2 linked regions of the Lepisosteus oculatus genome follow. Each later gene encodes a partner of the first gene's protein in a complex. Links are inferred from orthologs where the notes say so. Each region holds a gene or a part of one and is shown in the gene's direction. Other genes may lie near its edges. The genes, in order: trappc8 and trappc12.

The links.
Region 2: trappc8 (region 1) and trappc12 share a complex: the UniProt entries of both Homo sapiens proteins name them as parts of the multisubunit TRAPP (transport protein particle) complex. The link is inferred for Lepisosteus oculatus from reciprocal best matches to the Homo sapiens genes TRAPPC8 and TRAPPC12.

What each region holds. Positions count from the first base shown.
Region 1 is NC_090701.1:42,899,428-42,911,715, forward strand, and holds the start of trappc8 (trafficking protein particle complex subunit 8), read left to right. Parts: upstream 1-6,367; 5' UTR 6,368-6,547; coding exon 6,548-6,704; intron 6,705-12,288. Other genes in the region: E3 ubiquitin-protein ligase RNF138-like, read right to left, coding at 2,969-3,108. UniProt on the Homo sapiens protein: Plays a role in endoplasmic reticulum to Golgi apparatus trafficking at a very early stage. Maintains together with TBC1D14 the cycling pool of ATG9 required for initiation of autophagy. Involved in collagen secretion.
Region 2 is NC_090697.1:14,817,147-14,829,416, reverse strand, and holds the start of trappc12 (trafficking protein particle complex subunit 12), read left to right. Parts: upstream 1-6,301; 5' UTR 6,302-6,324; intron 6,325-9,900; coding exon of another isoform or gene 9,901-9,984; intron 9,985-12,215; coding exon of another isoform or gene 12,216-12,257; exon of another isoform or gene 12,258-12,270. Other genes in the region: eipr1 (EARP-interacting protein homolog), read right to left, coding at 324-423, 3,693-3,849, 5,721-5,853, 9,901-9,984, 12,216-12,257. UniProt on the Homo sapiens protein: Component of the TRAPP complex, which is involved in endoplasmic reticulum to Golgi apparatus trafficking at a very early stage.

The sequences.
Region 1 (12,288 bases):
CACACACATCGACACACATTATACAGGGACACACACATTGACACACATTATACAGGGACACACACATCGACACACATTATACAGGGACACACACATCGACACATTATACAGGGACACACACATCGACACACATTATACAGGGACACACACATTGACACACATTATACAGGGACACACACATCGACACACAATATACAGGGACACACACATCGACACACATTATACAGGAACACACACATTGATACACATTATACAGGGACACAGACATTGATACACATTATACAGGGACACACACATCGACACACATTATACAGGGACATACACATCGACACATAATACAGGGACACACACATCGACACACATTAGACAGGGACACACACATCGAATCACATTATACAGGGACACACACATCGACACACAATATACAGGGACACACACATCGACACACATTATACAGGGACACACACATCGACACACATTATACAGGGACACACACATCAATACACATTATACAGGGACACACACATCGACACACATTATACAGGGACATACACATCGACACACATAATACAGGGACACACACATCGATACACATTAGACAGGGACATACACATCGACACACATTATACAGGGACATACACATCAACACACATAATACAGGGACACACACATCGATACACATTATACAGGGACACACACATCGACACACATTATACAGGGACATACACATCGACACACATAATACAGGGACACACACATCGATACACATTAGACAGGGACATACACATCAATACACATTATACAGGGACACACACATCGACACACATTATACAGGGACATACACATCGACACATAATACAGGGACACACACATCGATACACATTATACAGGGACACAGACATTGATACACATTAGACAGGGACACACACATTGACACACATTATACAGGGACACACACATCGACACACATTATACAGGGACACACACATCGATACACATTTGACAAGGACATACACATCAATACACATTATACAGGGACACAGACATTGATACACATTAGACATGGACACACACATCAATACACATTATACGCATTATACAGGGACACACATCAATACACATTATACAGGGACACAGACATTGATACCCATTGATATAGAGTCACACACATCGATACACATTATATAGGGACACAGACATTGATACACATTGAGTCAGAGACACACACATTGATACACATTGATGCAGGGTCACACACAGTGATACACATTGATACAGAGTCACACACATTGATACACATTGATGCAGGGTCACAGACAGTGATACACATTGATTCAGGGTCACAGACAGTGATACAGGGACACACACATTGATGCAGGGTCACACACATTGATACACAGAATTTGATACTGTAAACTAACATGGCATTGACTGAGAAATAAATGCATACTTGAAAATACTTTTCCTGCTGGATATTATTATTTAACTAGGGCAGCTTACCATGTTTATGAAGTTGTATATTAAGTGTAAATACAAAAGGCAATTAAAGAGAAGATCTCAGTTAAGGGTGGCACAGTGGTTAGCATTGCTGTCTGGAGTATGCATGATCTCTCCATGTTCTCATGGGTTTCCTCCTGCAGTCCACGGACATGCTGGTGGGTCACCTGGCTTCTGGGAAAGATGGCCCTGTGTGTGTGTGTGTGTGTGTGTGTGTGCCCTGCGACCCCGAATTGGATGAAATGGTTAGTAACGGAACAGACGGATGCTTAAGAAATGGACGGATGGATTTCAAGACAGTATAAAGGAAATGAAAAAATGAAATGAAAATGAAAACAAGCACACCAATGTGGGAAAGGGCTCTGCATGCAAAATACAACCCATACATGAATGAAGTGGGAAGCACCAGGACAAACAGGGCGGAGAGGTGGCTCTGTGGCTAAGGATCCGTGCCTGTGGCTGGAGGGTTGCCGGCTCAAATCCTGCAGCCGGCAGAGGAAACCTACTCTATTGGGCCCCTGAGCAAGGGCCTTAACCCCAACTACTCCAGGGGCACTGTACAATGTTTAACCTGCACTCTGACCCCAAGCTTCTCTCCCTGTCTGTGTGTCTCATGGAGAGCAAGCTGGGGTATGTGAAAAGACAAATTCCTAATGCAAGAAATTATAAAGGGTTAATAAAGTGATGCTTTTATTATTATTAAATGTGTGTACACCCCGGTGGTGTGGGTACAAAGCCATTATGTGGAGGCTCTGGTGGAGTGAGGACCCTGTTGTCTAGCAAGGGAACGGCAGGAGCAGTTTGAGAGATGTAGGAGGAAGCCGACAGGATGCACTGAAAGGAGCTCAGGACTGGGCAGTCCTTTGTTCTGCTGGTGGCTCATCCCTCCACTGAGGAGCAAGGACTAAGGGATAAGGAACCGACTCTAGAAGTGGCAGAACGGAGAGGGCTAATAGGCAATTCAACCCTCATCTCCTGCACCAGCCCACTGGCTAATCCCATAGGATCTCCCTGGCCTGGTTTTTAAATCTGCACTGCTACATCCAGTTTCACCCTTGAGGTGTTGTGTGCAGGGTCAGTGAGCTGCTCATCCGGGAGAGAGTCACAGCAGTGGGCAGCAACGCAGGACGGAGAGCAAACACAGTCTGTGCAGGACACAAGGGGTCTGCCCAGCTGAGTCAACGTGTCATTTGGAGGTGAAAAGGAACCGGAGCACCCAGGACTGAACGCAGGACCCCGAAGCCGTGAGGAAACATCGCTGAAAGCCACGCCCCCCACACTCTCCCCTCCCAGCTGTTTCGTGAAGGGGTGCAGATACTGCAGTGTTCAAATCTACAAGCTCACCTTCCACATACAGTAACGATTATCATTAGCTGGGGTCAGCTCTTGCACAATGCAGAAAAGCAAAATAGGACGTCCATCAAATGTTAAATTCAGGGGCTCAGTGAAAAGATCAGTCCATTTTACTCACACGTGTTTGCAGGTTTTGGTCCTGATGGGTGTTTTGAAGACTTCTTGGCATATTGGACAGTCAAAATCCCCCGAGAGATCCAGATCGCTGAATGGTTCTTCTGCGGGCGGCCTGGCTCCTTCTTCTTCAGCGGATCCCATCGTGAGGTGGGAAGGAAGCTCTGCGATCTATTTTTATGTTTCATTCACAGAAGGGTAATTAGCTTAATAGCATTTAAGCTTTAAAGACAAGTACAGGTGTAAACTGCTTAATTTTCAATTTATACAAACGCAAAGTCTCATAATATTTTAAAAGTACTCCACAGACATCTGAGGCACAAATACTCAGCCTTATAAATGTGTGCATAATTTAAGTGCTAATTCATCCTTATATATTACCATAATAATTGTTTTCTGTAGTATTCTTAGGTAAACATTCCATGCAAAAATTCAATACAGCATAATTTGCATAAGTATAGCTTTGAAATTGTTTTAAAATTGCTTTAAAATGTCAAATTGCATTGAATTCGTATCTGTGTGAGTGCTCACCGGGTATTAAACAGGATGCTGTGAAATAGAAAATAAAGTGGAAGTGAACCAAATCCGTTGCTTTTAGTGAGAAATAAATATTTACGGGACTTTCCAGCTTTGTCATGCTTGCACATTTCCTGCGTCACACACATTTAAAGGAAAAAGGCAAACAAAAAGTGAAAGTTTCTTTTTCGTATGATGCCCACGATACCCCTCAAGCAAGAAAACAACAAACGTTTAAGGTAGCTGTTGGGCACCTACTTAAAACTGAATATACAGCAGGTCCAAATTTACTTTGCGTGTGAGAGCACGGTATGCCAAAACGCCCGTTAAACTGCTATCTATCTCCAGTGATGCTGAAGGAATGTTTTTAAAACACATAAATCCCCTACATTCCAGGAAGCCACAAAAGACGTATTTGAAAATTCAGTTAACAGAATATTTAACAGCTATCTATAAATTGTAGCTGTGTACTGTAGCCTTGTGTCTTGCATCTAATTTTTATATATAGAGATGACAAAAAATACCTTCAGAATACCTTATCTCATCAGAATAGCTTTAGTACTGGTCAGGCTGAATTAGTTGTTCACAAGTGGCTAAGAGCTTGACAAACAACTTTAATTATTCTTAATAGATATCCTTCTGTCAAGTCATTGACATATACAGGTAGTGTCAATGCTTGTGTTTAAAGCTGTACAATATCATCTTTCACCTGCTGTACAGATACATACTGTACATGGTCATATATAAACTTGATAAGCAGGTATAGCTAGTATCACTCATTAAATGCACCATGGGGAAATATTGAGCTTTTCAGAGAACATTAAAATAAATGTTTTGCATATGAAATGAATGGTAGAAATAAACATGTTCTTTTAAAACCTACAACACATGCATACTGTACTTTATTTACTTGAACTTTACTGCACAGTCAGAAAAAGAAACAACATAATAAGAAGAGAACATTCTTAACGTCAGCTAAACACAAACAGTAGATGTTATGAAAATAGTCAGAAACTCAGACACAGTAACAATGCCATTTTCATTTTATCGCTTTGAAGTGAGGAGCCTTAGTAAAAATGCACATTACCAAGTTGTAAGAAGAGCTGGTCGAGGCAGGATTCGCTTGTGCTGCAGTCCACAAAGCATTTAAAATGTGCTGATGCTGTTGTACCATAAAACACGAGCCAACAAGCAACATTTTCACTTTCGGTATTACAGAACAGGAAGCTGAATCTCATATGTTTCCATCCAATCTTATATTTATAAAGCCTGTGCTTGTTTCCTGCTTAGTGCAGATCTCATTAAAGGGAAGATACATACTAATTAAATATTTATTTATCAGTGTTGTTTTCAAATAGGGAGTCAGATTTGAAAGCAGGGAATGACTACAAAACTCTGGGACAGCTTTTTTAGCTGGATGTTTTATAAAACATCACAAATCCAAAAGATGTTCTTCGGAGACAGATTCAGATTCACACTGCCAGGGCTTTCTTGAGAGGTGGGAATGTGACGTCATGCCCAAAATGTCTTGTACAACGAGCTGGAAACGTGTGTGGCGTCTAGGGCTCGTACACCAGACATATGCTTGTCCAGGATCTGCAAGAAGAAAAAAGGACTGACTCCCACAACACAGCCTCAGCATCCCGGGGAAAAGTATGCTTCACAGAGGTGGAGTGTGTGTTGTTTCCAGCGATGCCCTGCGAGCCTTTATCAGCACACGCTGTGTTGATCACCCATGATAATGACAAATTGTTATTCAGCATAATGAAACAACCTATGTCATGCCTGTTTAACAGTGCTGTATAGAACTGTCTGACTGAGGGGTGATCTCGAGGCCAGACTGAAACAAGGAGAATTTATTATAAATACCTTTGACCAATGATGGTTACTCCTGATATCATTAAATTGTTGTCTCAAACAAATGTGCTGTTTCTGTAGTTTTCAGTGTGAACTCATTTGTCAGATTATCCCTCTGAACACAGTTTGTGCTAGGAGAAGCAGAAGAACTTCTGTATACTCATAAAAACGAAGTCTCAAAGTTTAATCAGTTTTGGTTCCCTTCTTACACTTTTTTTGCAAGCTGACTACAGTGGTAGTGGGATTTGTGGTGTGCTCTTGTGTTTGTACAACTGTATTTAGAGAGTAAAGTTCCTTTAATTTCAAACTGGTAGAGTGGAGGACAGCAGTGAAACAGCTGTTGACTATCCTTGGGTCACTGGTTCAACTCTGGCTTGAATGATTTTTTTGGGAAGTATTATAATAGAGAACAGGGGACACGTCTTTACACAAAGGGTGGTGAGTGTGGGTCAATCTACCCAGCCATGATGTTGAAGCCAGTACCCTGGCTTCTTTTAAGAAACGTCTGGAGGAGCTCCATGGATCAATTCACTGCCAAAGGGCTAAATTAGCTGAATGACCTCCTCTCGTCTGTAACACGCTCGTTGCTCGGGTTTGTTTTTATATTAACTTTGTTTCTCTGACCGAGAGAAGAAAATAAAATGGAAACCTAACCTCATGTCGGATTTAGAAATAATCAAAATAATTTAAGATACACATAGCTAAGCAGTGTTTTCATGTGTGATACACATTAGACTTTGTACTCCACATTTCCAATTTTTCAAGCTTTGAAACGTTACCAGTATCGAGGTATATATTTATCGCTAGGAAGGCAAAATATCGAAATTGCGTCGTCTAATTTGAATTTGCGACTTGTACTGTACGACATCACACATCACAGCACATATCTTTTCGGATTGCAACAACAAAACGTCCCCTTCTATACACGAAGTATCCCCGCAGCCAGCGCACAGGAAATACCTGGTGCACAGCTGTCTGCGGCTCGTGACCTGCGGGTGAGCGCGATCACATGACCGCCCCGGTGCTCCACGGGAATGAAATCGATCAGCAGGCAGCTGGAGAATCCAACATGGCTGCTCTCGGCTGTCAGTAGGGGAGTTGTTTTCAACTCTGGGGCTAGTGGTTAACTTTGAAAGAACAACAAAAGACAAATCTTTCCGCGGCTTGGATTTTTGTTCCGGACGTAGCGACCGAGATCGCAGTGTCCGCCATGGCCCAGTGTCTCCAGTCCGTGCAGGAGTTTATTCAGGACTCGTTCGTGCCCATGGTGGCCGTCTTGTGCAGCGAAGATGCGGAGAAAGTGACTCGGAAAAACAACCTGAATTTCTCAGAGCTGGTGAGGCCTTTCTGTCGGCTCACCTCGGAAGGTTTGTGTTTTTTTTTTGTTTTAACTTCCATGCAATGTGGGTAGTTTCGTTTCGTGGGGATGTCTGTGTGTACTGCGATACCCTTGTTCTGTCGGCGCTTGACAAATGACAGGCAGGGCTGGTTATAATTCAATATTTAAAGGGGAGATAATTCGGTGCACCAGGGCCTTCTCGGGTTTTAAGTTCCGTCTCCTTGAGGCGGTTCATTAATATCTCAGTAGTTTGGCATTATTGTCGAAGAGTCAAAATGGAGGTACACTTAGTTTTATGTGGCGTTTTCTCTCCGTGGAGCAGGCCGAAAGAGATGTTCGGTGAGGGATACACTTTCATTACACAGATCCGCATAGCGTCTTCCCTAATGTTAAGGGTTAAGGCGCTGTGTTTGGGGGAAATGTACAGTGGGTCACCACGCCTGACTGGATATAGAATCAGTAACCTACATTTTAGGCGGCGCAGCCGAGTGTATTTTTGCGTGACGGCTGTGAGTGAAGCCGTGTCCCGCGAATGCCGCACACCTTTGCGTGTTTCCCGAAAGTTAGCGGATGCCGCCTGAGGGAAAGGATCGGTCCCACTGACCCCTTCAGATGACAGCAGCGAGTAGAAGTGGTTAATAAACTGCTGTTGCTCTGGGCAGGTAATATCAGCGGAGCCGTAGATGGTGACTGAAGAAGTTCAGTTCTCACGGCTCTGCGGGCTGTCCGGGGAGAGCAGTCCTGTTCACGTCTAGAGAAGCGGTGCTGAGGCGTGGTGTTCGTGTTGGACTCTTCATTTCGACAAGAACGGTCATTCATAACAAGACTGAGAAAGCATCACGTTGCCAGCATCCAATGTATATGTGCTTTATGCCACATTATGTGCACTGTAAAATATGCTTTTAGTATTTCCTTCTTTTCAGTCGTGCATCGGCTACATATCTCTTACATTACACAGGCCGGGAAATGTAAGCTTTACCATGTTTTTTGCATCATCAGACTTTTTCACGACAATGTTTTCTGTATTAAAAATCACTAAAATAGGTTTGGAACTTTCTGAATAAATCATTTAATTATTTCGTGTTAAAAATCACGCCAACTACTGTAAAACCCCCTTTCTAGGATGGGAATGATCAGGACCACTATACGTGTGTTCTCCTACACTGTTTATATATTGTATATATCCGATATATGAACGCAGGTGTCTGGAAACTCTTCCCTGTCATCAGATTATACAGTTGAAAATGAAATCTGTTATTTATTTATTTTTTAATTTGGAATCGCCAATTCTTTAATTCTTTGCTATCCTGACCTGATTTGGGCCGGCCAGTTGCATGTGACTTACAGCTCAGCCCTGTACGGCAGCCCTGTATGGCTGGAGTGCCAGGGAGGCTGCAAGTGGGCGGGGCCGCTCCGCCGGTTTGTACCCCATTGCTGGCTGAGCCACCGGCCCCCGTCATGCACAGCCCCTCTGCATCTAAGTATGGACCCCCTTAGAACTCATGACAGGCGGTAAATGGTTAAACGGTATAATCTTTAGAAAGGAACAAGTAATAGGTTTATTCCATGCTGAAAAAAAGAAGAAAGAGAACACAACGTTTCGGCCGAGGAGCCTTCTTCAGGTGTGACACCTGACACCTGAAGAAGGCTCCACGGCCGAAACGTTGTGTTCTCTTTCTTCTTTTTTTCAGCGTGGAATAAACCTATTACTTGTTCCTTTGCAGCCTACGCATGCTGACGCAGCTACCCACCTAATCTTTAGAAAGATGCACTTATAAGTCTTATGCACTTGTTGTGATTCACTGGTTTATACCACTAATATTGAATGTCCTTCCATCCGTCTGCTAACTGTTTTATATCCAGTACAGGGTCGTGGGGGGACCGGAGCCTATCCCCTCAAGCAACGGGTGCAAGGTGGGGTACACCGTGGACAGGACGTCAGTCCGTTGCTGGGCACACAGCAACAGACACTCGCAGCAGGGCAGCATTTTTCCCAGAAGCCAGTTAATCTGCTGTTATGTCTTTCGGCTGTGGGAGGGATACTGGAGCACCTGGAGGAAACCCACACAAACACGGGGAGAACTGACAAATTCCAGGCAGATAGTAGCACCGGGGCCCTTGTCTCTGCAAGGCAGCGATACGAGCCGCTGCGGCCGTTGGGTGCTGCCCAATACTGAACAATCCTCACCGTCTCAGATGCTTTCTAAATTGTCATCTACTTGAGAAAGTTTTTGTTGAATCTGGCTAAGGCCAGGGTTTGTTCTGGGGTTGAGTTCATAAAATGCCATGTAAATTTGAGTAACGTATTTAGTTGCCAGGAGCTTCATGGGGAAAATAAAAGAGCAAAAGAGAAAGTCTTGGCATTTTTTAAAATTAGCCGTAGGTCATCAACACAAGACCTAAAGTCTTAGTCTGTCACTGACATGGTGCTCTTAGTAGAGAGCAGTTTGAGGCAGCAGTTAAACTAGCTAAAACAGAGAATTTATTCCAGGTTGCACCCAGAGGAGAGTTGGAGCTTTAAGCCTTCATTGACTTATGGCTCAGTGCTTTCTAGGTACATACCGCCCAGTTCTCCTATGAATACGGGGGAGAACAATTGTCCACAGGATTTGCATCAAGTTCCTCCACTGGTCACAGTCCGCTAGTGACATAACCCAGGATCACAGAGCTCAGCCTGCACTAGTGTGAGCATCTTTTTTCCAATTGAGCCTCTTGAGAGGCCCCAGGAATTTACCTTTTAAAGGTTCACCATAAGCAATGCACCCCACCACCATATTGTTTTTTTGGATGTGATTCTGTTGTATGTGGAGGCATCACAGTGCAGTGCTGCCTCATGGCACTAGGGTCCCGTGTTCCTGATCTGGGGTACTGTCAATGTCGAGTTTTCCTCCAGTTGCTCTGGTTATCTCCACTAGTCCAAAGACATGCTTGTAGGTTAATTGGCTTTTGGGTAAATTGCCCCTGGTGTGCGTGCATGTGTGTGTTTGTTTGTCTCTGTCTGCCCTGGAATGGACAGGGGTTTATCCCCATTTGCTGTTGGGATTGGTTCCTCCTCCACTGTGACCCTGAATCAGATGAAGCAGTTAGACAATAGTTGGATATATTGAACGTGCTGTAGTCTTTATCTCTGTGTTCTTTCTGCTTGTGTTGTCATAGATTTTCTTGGAAAAAAAAACATGTTCACACTAAATGAGGAGACCTGCTAACAAAAGTGTTAGTGGCAAAGTGGACTGTTACATGGTTATTTACTTCCTTTCTTGCTTGTAATCAGTACTAGGACATGTAGTGCCACATTTTCCATTAGCAGTTGTTGCCCAATAGCTTGGTAACCTGATTCCATGGAAACCAAGCTGGACCATCGTTGATATATCCCATTACAATACCGAATGGCAAACCAGATGATAGGAACATCTGGATATGTTGGTAAAATCACGCTGACGTGAAAGGAATTAGGATGAAACATTGTCTTATGAAAGGCTAACCGTCTCAAAAGAAAATACAGCATCGTAAATCCTTTGTTTAAATGTTATTGCAAAGATATTACAATAAAACCTGGGATGCTAAAGCTTATTAGCAATCACAACTGCACCCTTAAGGCATTCTCTTCCACAACATTATTAGCAATGTGTTGTCTTGTGTTAGCCCATTTCCTTTCAGCAGCGGTGACTCAGGATGCAAAGTGTTTCTGTTCTTTTTTTCATGTAGTCAGGTTGCCCACAAGCACCTCTGACTTAGATTTTTCTTCACCCAATGAAATTTGTAGGGCCAGATATTAAGTCAAATACACTTTCTCCGATCAGAAGAGAGCTGTCTGTACTGAGAGTGCTTCAGCACTTTATTGGTGGGAATGCTTGGCATCTACAGAATGAGAGGGAAACGGCTAAATCCTAGTATGTAAAAAAGTATTCTTCTACCTCTGAAGTAGATGTCTACTTTACAAAAAGCATTAAACTCTCAAACTATGCTGTAGGTGAAAATGATCACACGGTCGTAGGTTTTGACATTTTGGTTAAATTCATGTAGCATTTGAGGTAGCAACTGGGATTTTATTATGTGATTCGAGATGCATGTTAAGTATTACGACTTTAGATTATCTCCTGCACGCATTTGTCCCGTGTTCTGTGGGTTTCAGGTTCCCTGCTAATAACATCATAGTACATTATGTGAAGGTAGCATCTGATAGTAGGTGGCACAGTGGTGAGCGTTTCTGCCTCGTAGTGTCGGGGCCTTGAGTTCCATCCCTGGGGTGCTGTCTGTGTGGAGTTTGTATGTTCTCAACGTGGGTTTCCTCCAGGTGCCCCAGTTTCCTCCCACAGTCCACAAACATACTTGGCTTCTGGGGAAATTGTCCCTGGTGTGAGTGTGTGCCCTGCGACAGACTGGTCTGCCCAGGGTGTACCCCGCCTTGTGCTTGTTGGCTCCAGCTCCCCTGCGACCTTGAATTTGATAGAGCTGTTGAAAAAAGGCTGGATGGATCTGACAGCCAGTCTGTTAGTAATCAGCTATGTGATTGAATTATTTTAAAAATGGGCAGGGCACATTATGACACATTGTTGCAAAATAACATAAGTGGCTTGCATCTTATATTATTGTTGTTTGGATTTATGTTGGTGTTGCTCACCATGCGGTCTGGCTATATTTTACTGAAGTAAAAGCAAGTTTTGTGTGGGAGCCTGATGATTAGCAGTAGTAATCAAAACGAAGTTTTCAAATCTTTATTTGTGAATTGAAAAGAAATTATTCATGTAAGCAAACCCAATAATTTATGTTTACTCTTCCTACTTAATGACAGGAGATCCCCATTGCTTGTCAATAATGCTGTTTGAGCTCAGGTGAGAATGCTGTGTAGAGAAATTTAAAAACATATTACACAAACATCTCAGATCAGTACTGGTTAAGGCTGCCTAATTATATCAGAGTGCCTTATCAATGTTATATTTTATCTGACTAGCTTAGACTAACTTTATCGGATAGCTTAGACTTTGTTTTGTTTGCTGGCAACACAGACCTTCTCATGTACAGTCGAAGTCTATCTTTATGACTAGAAGTCAGCTCAGGCTTAAAGCTTACGTGTAGTATTTCAATATTCATCCCTCTTTATGTGTGTTCAAGTTGAGAGTTTTTCTAGGAAGTTTTTTTTTAGGGTTAATTTGTATGCTTTTTATTTGGTTTCTGGTTCAAGTTATCACCGGAGGTTTTAAGGGAGTCTGCCACATAAAAAAAAACTGACCCTTACCTATTGGTTGCTGTCCCTTAGCTTTCTGTTGGCATGCTTTCTGATTGGACCTTTATGCTGCTTCTAAGTTGGTATCTTCAAACAGATATTGGCAGGATGCTGTCAATGTCAGCTTTTGAGTGGACTTTTCATGATTTGCCGAAAGTTGAAAGGTATGGCCCATTCTTTCAGTGTTTCAAAACCTTCTGACACTTTTGTGAAATATTCTCTTGCAGATCATGGTTCTATTTTGGTTTATGTCCTGTGAACTCTGTGTATGCTGGTGGAATAAGAGGGGCAGATTTTCCCTTTTTCCCCCCACACTGTCCTGTTTTCTCCCAGAGCAAGCACTGCACCTTAATACAGAGATGAAAAAATTTATTGTTAAAATCACCTG
Region 2 (12,270 bases), on another chromosome or scaffold:
ATTTTCTGATCTTCTTAAAAATGAACCATTCACTAATACTAAAATGCAAAGAAATAATACCCTGTAGCTGTAATAAACTCATGAAGGTATGAACACCTTATTCATTATAAGCTTTATTAATTAATAGTTGTTATCCCATAGAATTATTATATCACAGCTTATCTGCAGTGCATGATATACATTATTTTCTTAATGAACATCTGAGCATGCAGAGCCTAATGATGCTTTTAACGGTAGTATCGGTAAATGACTGTAATAATTTGGAAACAACTGAATAATAAATCTTTAAAGAAGCAATACAATCTCAAGATCTTTTGTCTTACCGTAGCCTTGGTGCAGTTTTCCTGCAAGTCCCAAAGCAAAAGATGATTATCTGCTAGTGAAATCAACCTTTTGCCATCACCCATGGGTTCCCAGAGAACACTGTAAAACATTTAAAAGGTTAACACGCCTGTTGACCTGTTCAAGACATTTAAAAACTTGTACAGTCATTTCAGCAGTTGTGTTTTGTAAAATTATTTTAACCCTATTCACAAGCACAGATAAATTAAGGTTTATTTGAAGGTAGACAACATTTGAGTCTAATTTAATTTAACTACTTTATGACCACCATTTTAATTTAATGGCCAATGGTGTGCTACGAGAAGATAAAGGAAACCCATTTTCAAAAGGATCCCAGCCAAGTACTGTATGTAATTCACATCGGCTGCTTGAGAAAAAAAAAATCCTAATGTTATAAATCTAACGCCAAAGGCAGAACAGTTTTTACAACTCATGTAAGGTGGCAAAAGTCATTGCCCTGCCCTGCGTCCTAGTCGTTCAAATAGCGTGGGTAGTGCCCACATATACTCCTCTTGCATTCTATTTCATGCAAAAAAAAAAACATTTTGGATAACATTTACTCAGTACCAAAATAACCAATTACTATGAAAGGGGCTTCAAATGAAGGTAAATCCAAGGCTTACAATTAGAGAACAGTCTCTCATACTTCTACATGTTATACAAACCTGTTCATGTAATTGTCCAATGATTTTGTCCCCATTGTAGAGTTATTCTTAAAAATGAGTGGGAAAAGCCAAAGGACTTATCTACCAAACTAGTACAAGGAAGGCAGCTGTAACATTTGTTTCTCAACTCATCTCCCTCAGTGCACATCAATCCTGCCCTTGAGAAACCACACGCTTAGGAGGAGAGACAGCCCTTCAGTCTCTGTGACCATCAATCTCTACTTCTCACCTTGGGAGTGCTTTCAAGGCAGGTCAATTGTCTCAAATACTGTGCCAAACAAATACGTGAAAAAAGTCTAGCCTTCACATCAGATTTTAAACAATTGAATCTTTTTTTTTTATTTCTTCACTCTTATGCCCACTGTATAGATTTATATATTTTATGATTTTCATTTAACTCTCTCCTGTAACAGTACCTGCAGCTACACAATCTTGCTGCTTTTAGATTAAATGACTTGTGACACTGACCCCCCCAAAGTCACACACACCACTCTGCCTTTACAGACCATGGATACTACAGTTCTGTTGTTGTTGCTACTTAAAATACTATTCTTCCTTAAAGGAGCATCTTTTTTTATAGCACCAAGCCAATACACAGTCCATTGTGGGTCATCTGATTTGAGATCGAATACACCCCAGTTAGTGAAAAAAACATCATATCCATATCTGTTAATCATTTGCAATGGATGTGCCTATTGAATAAGAACTCGCCTCCTTGATGATAAAAGACAGAATATTGTTTTTTCATTCCCTTCCAGTTTGTCCCACCAATGTTGTGTCATTGCTTCTCCTTGCCAGCCACAGCTGAGATAAGTCAAATGGGGGAGGAGATGTAACTTGGTTGTATTCGATGACAAGCTTTGTCTGAGATGGGGACTGTGCCATGAGCTCCCTCTTCTGACAAAAAAGATCAGCTGGTTAATCACCATGTATTAGGCTGAGGCACATACTGTAGCTAATGTACACAACATTAGCTTCTTCTTTGATAACCAGACCACAGGAAGAAGTTCCTGATCATTTAGAAAACCAATTCCAAGAAAATGGGTCATATGACTGCAAAGTAAACAAAATGAACCTAAAGATCAGGATGTTCATCTCAAGTTGTTGATGGCTATATGGCATTATGTTTTTCCTCCCCCTGAGTTTTGTATTACCTATTTAAACTTTACAATCACTGACTTCAATTAGCCATTGAAACCTCACTTTTCCCAAGTCTTTAGGTGTTAATTATTTTAAGAGCCCTATAAAACCAGCAGGACTGTGGTCTGGCAGCAGGAAACAATGACTGCTGTAGACAACATCTAAAAAAAAAAGCATCATATTGGAGTTAACTGAACAGCCTAAATACAGAAGGTGGTAAAGACAATGGGATCAAAGCCTTCATACAGAAACGCTTTTGCTGAGTATTAGAAAAGAGTAAACAAGACAAGCATGCAGCAGGCATTTTAAACATTATTCCTTACCTGAAAGACTACTGAGTTATTTACAATCTAAAAGGTATCCTACATGTAAAATTCTTCAGGGAAGTGGAAAGCAAAGAAAGATTAGCCATGAAGCAAGAAGAGGGCTGTACAAGAAACTTCACATAACATAGTAAAAAAGTAGGAAAATTGTGGTGTTATTACCTGTCCTCTTAAACTGAGGCTTTGTGAATTGATAAATTAGAGAAGAACACTATATCTGAATACACAACATTGAGGTTCTTGTCCTGATAATATGACCATGGCCAATGTAGAATGAGTGGTACTACATTTAAGTGATAACTATAAAACAGGATGTTTGTTCTTTATTCACAGAGAATACGTTGAAATCCAAAATACTTGTGTGAAAGAGTTTTATTTTATTTTTGATTACATTATGACAGAACATCTACAAAGATGCTGCCAAGTACAAATACATTAAAATGCCAGTATAATACAACTTTACCGGTTAAAACAGAATTGAAATCATTCTTGTTTTATTCTTTAAAATAACACATATGCACAGGGTGAAACACTGCACACATTAAAAGACTGAGCTGCACTTTAATTGCAAAACGGAAGGTTTGCTTGTGCAGTATTAAAGTATTAAAGGTGATCAGGAATGAGCTACCAGTCTGTATAATTGTTTCGGAGGGCTTTATAATCATTATATTTTTTATCCCTCTGGATTTGCATAAAACAGCCAAAATTGAACAACATTAATGAACTCCTAACTATTTAACTTAAACTTTGCTGACTAAGAACTGTTATATCCCTTAAGAACCCTTTCTGACTGGTATCTGCCAAGGGCTTGCCTAATGTACTACTGTGTGTGATATAAAGCAAGCCAAAGTGGTGAGATGAACCTTTTTCAAAGAACAATAGGTGCTAAAACCTGCATCATTCTATACTGCAAGCTCTTGTGAGCATAAATTCATACACAACATGCTATATAGAAAAATTATTTTAAAAATACAGGTAACCGCTGTGTATGTTTTAGAGACACACAAACCAATTAAACATTTAATGTTCCCTAAATATATTACAGACTAAAAATTAGCCAAGCAGGCGAGACAAGGATCCTGTGCCAGCCTAGCTCTGCAGTAACTAGGTCAGTCGATAGTTTACTGTGGAAAACAAATGCTGGAAAACACTGGTGAATAACACATTCAACCCTGGCCTACCCCACTGTAAAAAAGGTTTAAATCAATACTTAGGATCCTACCAGGCCATATTGCCGTGGGCTGTGTTGTCAAGGTGACAGAGCAGCTCTAGGGTCTGTGGGTTGCTTGATGAATCATCAGGGGATTCATGACTGCCTGATTCCAATTCCTTCGGCATCCTCCACACAGCTGCACATGTTACCACTTTACTGTCTGAAGCTAAGCAACAGAGACCAATGTTAGCACAGCATCTCAGTTATGACAGCCACTACCCTATTCAGCAGTTAGAACAAAACAAAATACATTAAGACAATGACCTCTATCTACGGTCAGTGTCTCATTCAACATTATTTTCTGAATAGCTTGAATAATTACCAGTTAATTATACTTATGTGCATGCTTTAATAATGCAGCTGACGCGTGCTTTAACTGATGTATGTCAATAATACCTATGTATTATTTAACAGAAAACTAAACTGCTTGCTGAGGCACCAAAATGTTCGAATGCCAAAAGAAGTGATATGCTACAATTATTTTCTGCTGCAATTTCTGCAAAAGAATGATAGTAATTTTTATTCATGAAGCGCCTTTCCAAACCCAAGAATGCTGAAAAGCATGATTTGTCAATAGAGTTGTCAATATCAGATAAAAATACAAAAAATAAAAGTACATCAAAAGTTTGTTTTCAAAATGCAATTTAAGTAACAGTTCCTGGAATAGTTTGTATATGAAGATACATAACAAAAGGGGAGAATCAAGACTGCACCTTGAAGACAAGCACATATTGTTCATGCTTCATGAAATCAATAAATCTGTTTGTACAGTTTTTGAAGATCGTATTTTGGAGACCCTTGATTTCATATTTCAATACGTTGATCCAACATGTTTCAGCTTCCATTAAAACACATGGCTGAATAATAAGTACTGTAGGTGCAGTAAATAATATCACCAAGACTAGCTTTCAAATCACTCTAGCAATTGTACACTACAGAAATATTTTAAACATGGATGCGCTATACAGACAACATTTTAAACTATGTCATCAGTAATGTTGCACACAAAAACAATTGAATAATAAGAAACAAGAGGAGACCTTTCAGCACATTTATTTTTTTCCAAATATAGTTTTTCACTAGGTACAAGACATGTCAGAAACAGTGAATCCTAGGGTAAGACATCTAGAATTAAAAATATATGTAAGTCAGCTGGCTTCATATCATATCAAGTACGAAAACAATCCACAGCTGACACAAATGGGAACAACTTTGGCCAAGGAGTTTGGTAAAGAGTGCCCCCAGAGGCGAACTTTTACGTTTCATTCATTAAAATGCCTGTATCTAAATGTGTGCCAACATTTACATGAAAATAACATTGGCTTTAACCAAATAAACCTTGAGGAACTCAGAACTTAACATCTCTACTGCTTTTAAAGTATTTAAGTGCCTTTTCTAACCACAGAGTATGTCTATACATGTGTATTTCCAACTGTGTTTTAGTGCCTTTTTTACAACAAATAAGATTTTCACTTGAATGCAGGGGTCTTTCTTATCTAATGTAAGGGAGATAATGCAGGAAAATACAATAGTTTACTTTCACAGGCTAAATGTTTTTTTGGCCATTTGAACCATTGAGCCTGGTGGAAGAAGACACTTAATTCACCTTCTTTAGCTTTAGATACTTCATTAGATTGATCACCTTCATAATTCATTTTTTTCTGTTCAGCCAGGCACGTGCATGCATCAAGCTTTTAATCAATTAAATATATAACTGGAGACAAATGTGGTCACACTCTCATCCAAACGTACAAATTGAAACCTGTCATATTCCTACTGATAGGATAGTTATAAACCAGGATTAGCTACAGTCTTCAGCCTTGTAGACTCTAATTTAATGTTTAATAGTTTCTTCATGTTCATTTATTTTTTAATTGCCTTGAGGCGACAATGGACATACAGAGTGCCAAAATTCAAGACTGTGACTGAGTTCTTTTACCAGCAATGCCTGCAAAGGATAGCTAGGAAAAAGGTCTGGCAGGGTGGCAAGCATGGACTGAGAAAAAAATTCTATTAAAAAAAGAAATGCTTACTTACTTTTGTTGTAACAGGTTGACAACACACTTTTATCTGCAGGACTTGTGCTTATATGCCATATTTCTCCAACTTGGTGGAGGAGAACATTCTTATTAATGATATTATTTTCATCATCAAAGTCAATGATGTGAATCTGCAAAAATAAAAATTCGTTAGTTAGGACGTGTCTTCCTTCAGCACCATTCTAAAGGCTTGCTTCATGAGATGACGAAATACCTCTGATACTGTGGTCTGACATTTTTGAGCTGACATAATTTTGTACCTCTTTTAAACAATACAAGTTCACACTTCTGAGCTGATGCTACATTTAAATAAATTTTAAAAATGACCAGTGGCATACAAAAGCATGTGAAAGGGTGGTAGGTTACTTCAGATACGATGACAGTATTTGTCTCCATATTTCCCAGAAGGCAATGCGAATGATCTGTCATCCTCTGTCACCAACTGGGGAAAGACACTGGTTGGGTAACATTTAAAAGCCAGAAAGCAGAGGCTTCCAGATAGCTCCTGAACACTGCTAGTTAGCAGAGTCACTGTTATGTGCAGCAGTGGGAAAAGGAAGTATGAAGACAAGCAATCAACAAGCCTGCAGATGTGCTTATTGGTGAGAGTTTTGAAAAGTTTTTCTTTTTGGAAACAAATTGGTGAAAGATTTTGGTTTTGTGAAGCCAGTAAGCGGCTAAGCTGCTCAGCTACTTATAGAGAAAGAAACAAAAGAAGTTAAGCTAGAGCTCAAACAGATCTAGGCTTCTGTTTTTAAATTTTGTTTGTGTTGTACTAATAGTAATAAGGTGTGAACTCTTTTTACACAGCTATGTGCTGAAGTATTATTTTCATGTGCTAAGGTGCCTGAGTCATACTACCTAAAACACATCTTTCACAACCATAAAGTCAAGTAGTTAGTTGACTCCACTAGTACCTCTACTGCAGATCCTCCTAAAACTCCCACATATATAGTATATAGTCAGAATAACCAGTATCATCATTTTACATAGTTTTAAACTGTCATCCTAGAAGCTGTACATAGCACTTGCACATGAACAAAATAGGCCAAGAAAGAAATATTAGAAGTCTAGTGACATCATAAAAAAGCACTTATATGCACTTAAAAGAGATGTATTTCTGTATGTATTCAAAATAACCATAATCCGACCCTGACTGGTTCACAATTCTGGAGACAGAAGACAGCACTTTGTCATAAATAAGAAAGGACAAAGGAATTTGAAACCACAGCCAAAAACTGAATGAATAATTGAATCACAAAATTTAATGGTGCTATTAATCTAATGTTTGGACACAGCTTAATCGGGTTCTGAAACTACATGTGTTCTTGTGTGAACTACATGTGTGACTATTCATTGGTTTCATACTGAAGAGTGTTTCAGGATTAACACAAAGCTATTCTCATGCTCTGATCTGTGTAAAAGAATTACCTGAAAGATACCTGTTGGGAAAAATAGATGTTAGACATTTTAATGAGATGTTGTTTCAGTATGGCACAAGGAATATTAATTGGTTGCACCTGGCATTAATTCCAGACATTCATCTCTTCTGGACAAGTTTTATGGGGAAGTTTGCATCAATGAACAAGGCCCTGACACCTCTTCAGACAGTTGAAAGGCAGAGGAAACCATTAACCTTGGACTGGACCACACTAAACAAAAATTATTACGCCAAGTTATAATTTTATGGAGCAGAGCTCTACAGATAAATTTAGATCACTGGGCAGTATAATTGGAGAGAAAAAAAGAACATGTAACAGGGCATTAGGTGAATTGGTCCAATGGACAAACCCCAGATATGATTTATGCTATTTTATATATGTGATGCAGAATGAGTCATCCCACTCAGACGACTTGGCCTCTTTTCCATCAATTTTAAACATCTTGAAAAAACTAATGACCTGGACATCAACTTGTGGGACCTCTGTGAGATTTTTAAGACCAAGATTATTCTAAGTTATATGTCAAAAATATATAACTCGCATCAATGCAAAATATATATATATATATTTTTATATACTTCATGGTTTTTTAGTCATACAGTGCTGCTGTGATAAGCGTCGATATTCCAGGCTATCCCAGATAAAGCTGCAATCAGCAGGCGGAAGATAAAAGGTAAATTGGTCTGGCATGCAATGAAAGAAGTGTGACAAAAATACTGCACCATACCTTTCCAATGTGCTTGCGAGGAGTGATTTGGGTTATTATAGCCTAAGGGATTGAGCGCTAAAGCTGTCAGTTATGTATGTAGCAGCAGAAGCATGTAACTACCACCCACTTCCTGCTAGGCTAAGGATAATCCTTTTAATTTACAGTAGATAAACACTGTGATAAACATGAAAAATATAAACCCATTTTAGTCAGTTCTATTACTTAAAAACACTGAAAATTCCATTTTATTCTAGCTCTTTAAAATTTTGAACAAAAGGCTAAAAATGTGAAAAATAAACAGCAGAGATAAAAAATAGCCATTACAGAAACATAAAAAAATATGTCTTGTAACTAACATATACACATAAGCTCCTTTTAGTTATAAACTACAAGTATTTAGATCCATTACAGGTATAAGAAACTGCATAAATACAGTTTTTCTTTTGTTGTGAATGAAGTGTAAGTAAAAAATAACAACTGATATTTTCACATAAAAATAATAAATTATTAATAGGGTCTTGATTTCTTCCTTACTAATCTTCAAACATATTCTTTTAACTTATTCCTCCAGTGCCAATAAATTAATATAGCCTCTTCTTTCTTTATTTATTAAGCAATCATCCCATTGTGTAACCTTACGTAATTACTACAACGTAAATGCATAAGCGTATAGAATAACAGTGATGTACAGTATATGGCTACTGGCACTTAAACATGTGCCTGTTCAATTCAATAGCGTCAAAATGAATCCAGCAAAACTACATTTTGCAGGTTCATGTATACAGTACATGTTTAACAGGATAAAAAATGCTGAAATCTCAAACAGTGTAAAGCAAAACAAAAATAAGAAAGCAAACATAATTATCATTACCATATGGTTTCCCACTTTCCTGTCATAGATGAATAAAACTGAATACCTGCTCATGCAAATAAACTCTTATTTTAGCACCAATGGAATCGGTGACAACAAATAAGTGATACTGTTTAATCTTTCATTTTATACAGGGAAATTATTTTTCCATTTCATTAAAAAAATAATCCAAATACATTCCACTGCTGATTTCTGGATATGTGTTTTGGGTTGAATATCCTGACTGCCTTGAGAAATTTGTGAACTTTCTGAATGAAATGTGCATTTTTTAATTGCAGATTATTTTTCAATAGTCAGATTAATAGCAATTTCACTGAAGCTCTTGACACACAATTTTTTGTGTTGTCTGTACTTTTAAAATTGAAGATTTATGGTTTTATACTGTACTTTGCCTTTGTTGTGCCAATGCTCAGTGTGAAATTATTAATTCATCCATCTTAGTATAGATTTTTTAATTTTACAATTAAACCAGTGTAATAGAACAGGCATTTGACCAGCAACTCTATCATCTGTTACAATCGGAGAGATCAGAGTTTCCAAACCTTGGGAATTTCTTTCAACATGTTTTCAGTTAAAGTCCATGAATTCTTTAAACTCGAGAAGACCACTGACCTTGTAGCAGAATGTACAAACTGATGCCTGTGATATCCCTATAAGTTAGTTGATTTAATTCAGCCAGTTTCTATTGATTAAAAACAAATTTAAGTATCTGAAAATGTTTTGTTCGAAAATTCAATCACACTTATAATATTACTATGTACATAAAATTTCATCTTAGAAAAACATCAATATTCTTATTAACACAAAGAGTCAACCTCATACTGAATAAAATCTACAAGTAACATTTTGAAATACTACAATATTTAAAATTTCAGCTAAACCTTTACGTATAATGTATGTATAATACTTTTACAAATCACCAAAAGACTCAAAGTTGTAAAGTATGCAGTGGATTATATAAAAGTTATTACTAAGACTGCAGAGAGGGATTGGTGCCATAGACTACCAAAATATTCTAAAAATAAAAAAGTGGTTGAAACTTACTAGGGAGGTCTGCTGCAGTCATGAGTCATCCAAGAGGAAATGTCACTCTTACTGTATTCGTATTAACCCCCCCATCCTTTATTCATTCCTCATTCCATAAGTACATACTCACCTGATTGTCAAATTTAAGAGACTGAGTACCAACTAGAAAGCGAATTGCATCTGTTTCTGCTGTCTGGGCTGTTAAAGCACGAGCCTGAAAAAAACGAATTCCCAACAACAGGTTTAATGCTCAATATTTCAGCGTGTCATCCTAAAACAAAGGTTCTTAGTTAATGTTGCAGATACTGTAACTGAGAATGACGGACAGAAAATCTGTAACTACAGGTAAATGCTAGAAAACTACAAAGAAACGTTAAGAATTTTGTTTAAGATAAAGATGGAAAAAAACTGAAAAGATTTGGACAATACAAAACGTTTTATCCTTATTTGGCCTTCAAGGCTGCCAAAATATTTGCTACCAAAGGTGTTGCACTTGTGTATTTTACACAATGTAAAATAATTTAAATAACTGGGACTTTAATGTTAAGGGTATTTCACACATACAGTAATTGGAGTTTAAATCTGTCAGGTGCTGAGGACAGAACTGGACCAAAGCAGCTTTTAAAACAAGCAAAGAGTGGGTTGCTCAACACATAAAGTTTGAGCAAATGATTTATATGACAGTGGCACATTAACTATTCTGCTGGCGTACTTAGCTGTATTCATTAACAAATAAATTTACGCTAATAAGGATTAATGTCTTGTAATGGGTGTCTGAAGAAGGAACTATTAAACTGAATCTTCACAAGACCTGAACACAACCTTTAAGATTTTTCTGCCTCCTCAAATAGAGCACTTACATAAACATTTTTAGGTGTCCCACTTGTAGTGCTACAGTACATTCGGAATGCACAGATATGCCCAACAGCTTACAAATATCAATAATGCCTCACCTTGTTCTTCCTGTACGGCTATGGCCATGTAAGTCACACAGAAGATCAAGCATCAAGTAACTAATCACACTAAGGACTGCACCTAACCCAATCTCGATAAAAAGCCCTCAACATTTTGACTAATTTCATACCCACTGCAAGACGACAGCACATCAGAATTTCGACACACTTGACAGCAGCTTTGTTCACCCAGGAAGGCTTACATCTGCATCACGGAGACATGCTAACTTGTTCAGTTCAAAATTGTCATGCTGATGTCATGGACATCCAGTGCTGGCTAAATTGTCCCTTTTCTCCAGGGCTCTTCGTGGAGGACTAGGATCCTATCCAAAGACAGAGCAATCATGTACTCCTGCTTGCCATGACACTTATGAGGCTGAGCCATTGGCAGTGGATGGATGGACGGATATCAAAGAATATCTTGAAAGAGTCGATCTGATGCAGGAACATGCAAGATTCTTCACTATTCCTTTTCAATCCCAGTTATCAGTGATGTACTGTAATTGCTGTACCACAACCAAGATTTTACCTATTCACACACACACGGCTTCCTTTTAAATGGAATCTTTATTATCATTAACTAGAATAAAGATTCATTAACAACACTCACAAATCTCACATCAGGCATTCCACTACGTCGCTTAATTGATTTTAAATCTAAATCTAAAATTCTAAATAATTCTAAAAAGTTCTAAATACTTAAGTCCAGTAAACTTAACTACTGTTTTTAGCATCCGTTTACATAATGCTACAATCAGTATTTAATTATTAAGAAAGTAACGACATATCATATGGTATGACTTTGCATACTGAAGAGCTTAATATCAAAGAAATAAACACATGTATAACATCTCCAATCGAGAAGCGAGTGTTCCACAGGACATCATTAACTAAAAATTCAACAGCATACAGAAGCTCTCCTGCCCATTAAATGGAGAGAGATCTTGCAAGGAAGATAGGCACTGATAGGCACTATAATGGAATGCCATTCAAAACAGCACACACCTTCGAATGAATATAGAAATATTTGGTTCTTTGGTTGCAAGAAATGTGAAGCTTTCTAACAGCTTATCTTAATGGATTTTACGATTTGACTAGGTAACACATTGGTTGCTTTTATGTAACCTACAGTAATAAATTAACTAAGACTAAGTCTTGCCTTGAAAAATTATCACGTGCAAAGTAATACGAAGATCATTTGTTACAGTATATTGTCATATGCGGTATAATGCCTGTGAAAAATACCCCCCTTATCGTAATGGACTCTAATTCGATACGTAAAAATGAATCTAGGAAAGCAAGAAATGTACAGCAACTGCATCCCTTCATTGGAATTCTAGTGACTATAGAACAAAAAACGTTCTGCATTCTACATATAAAATATGTTTTGCATTCTGAGTAAAATGTATCTCATCACTTTTAAATACATTATTATGTGCAAGGACTATTTATTAGTTATACACATTTCAGGAAACGTTTTATCTGTACGTACCTGAAATTCAAGGCCATAAATAACAGGTGCGTCGTCCTCCATATTTAAACGTTTT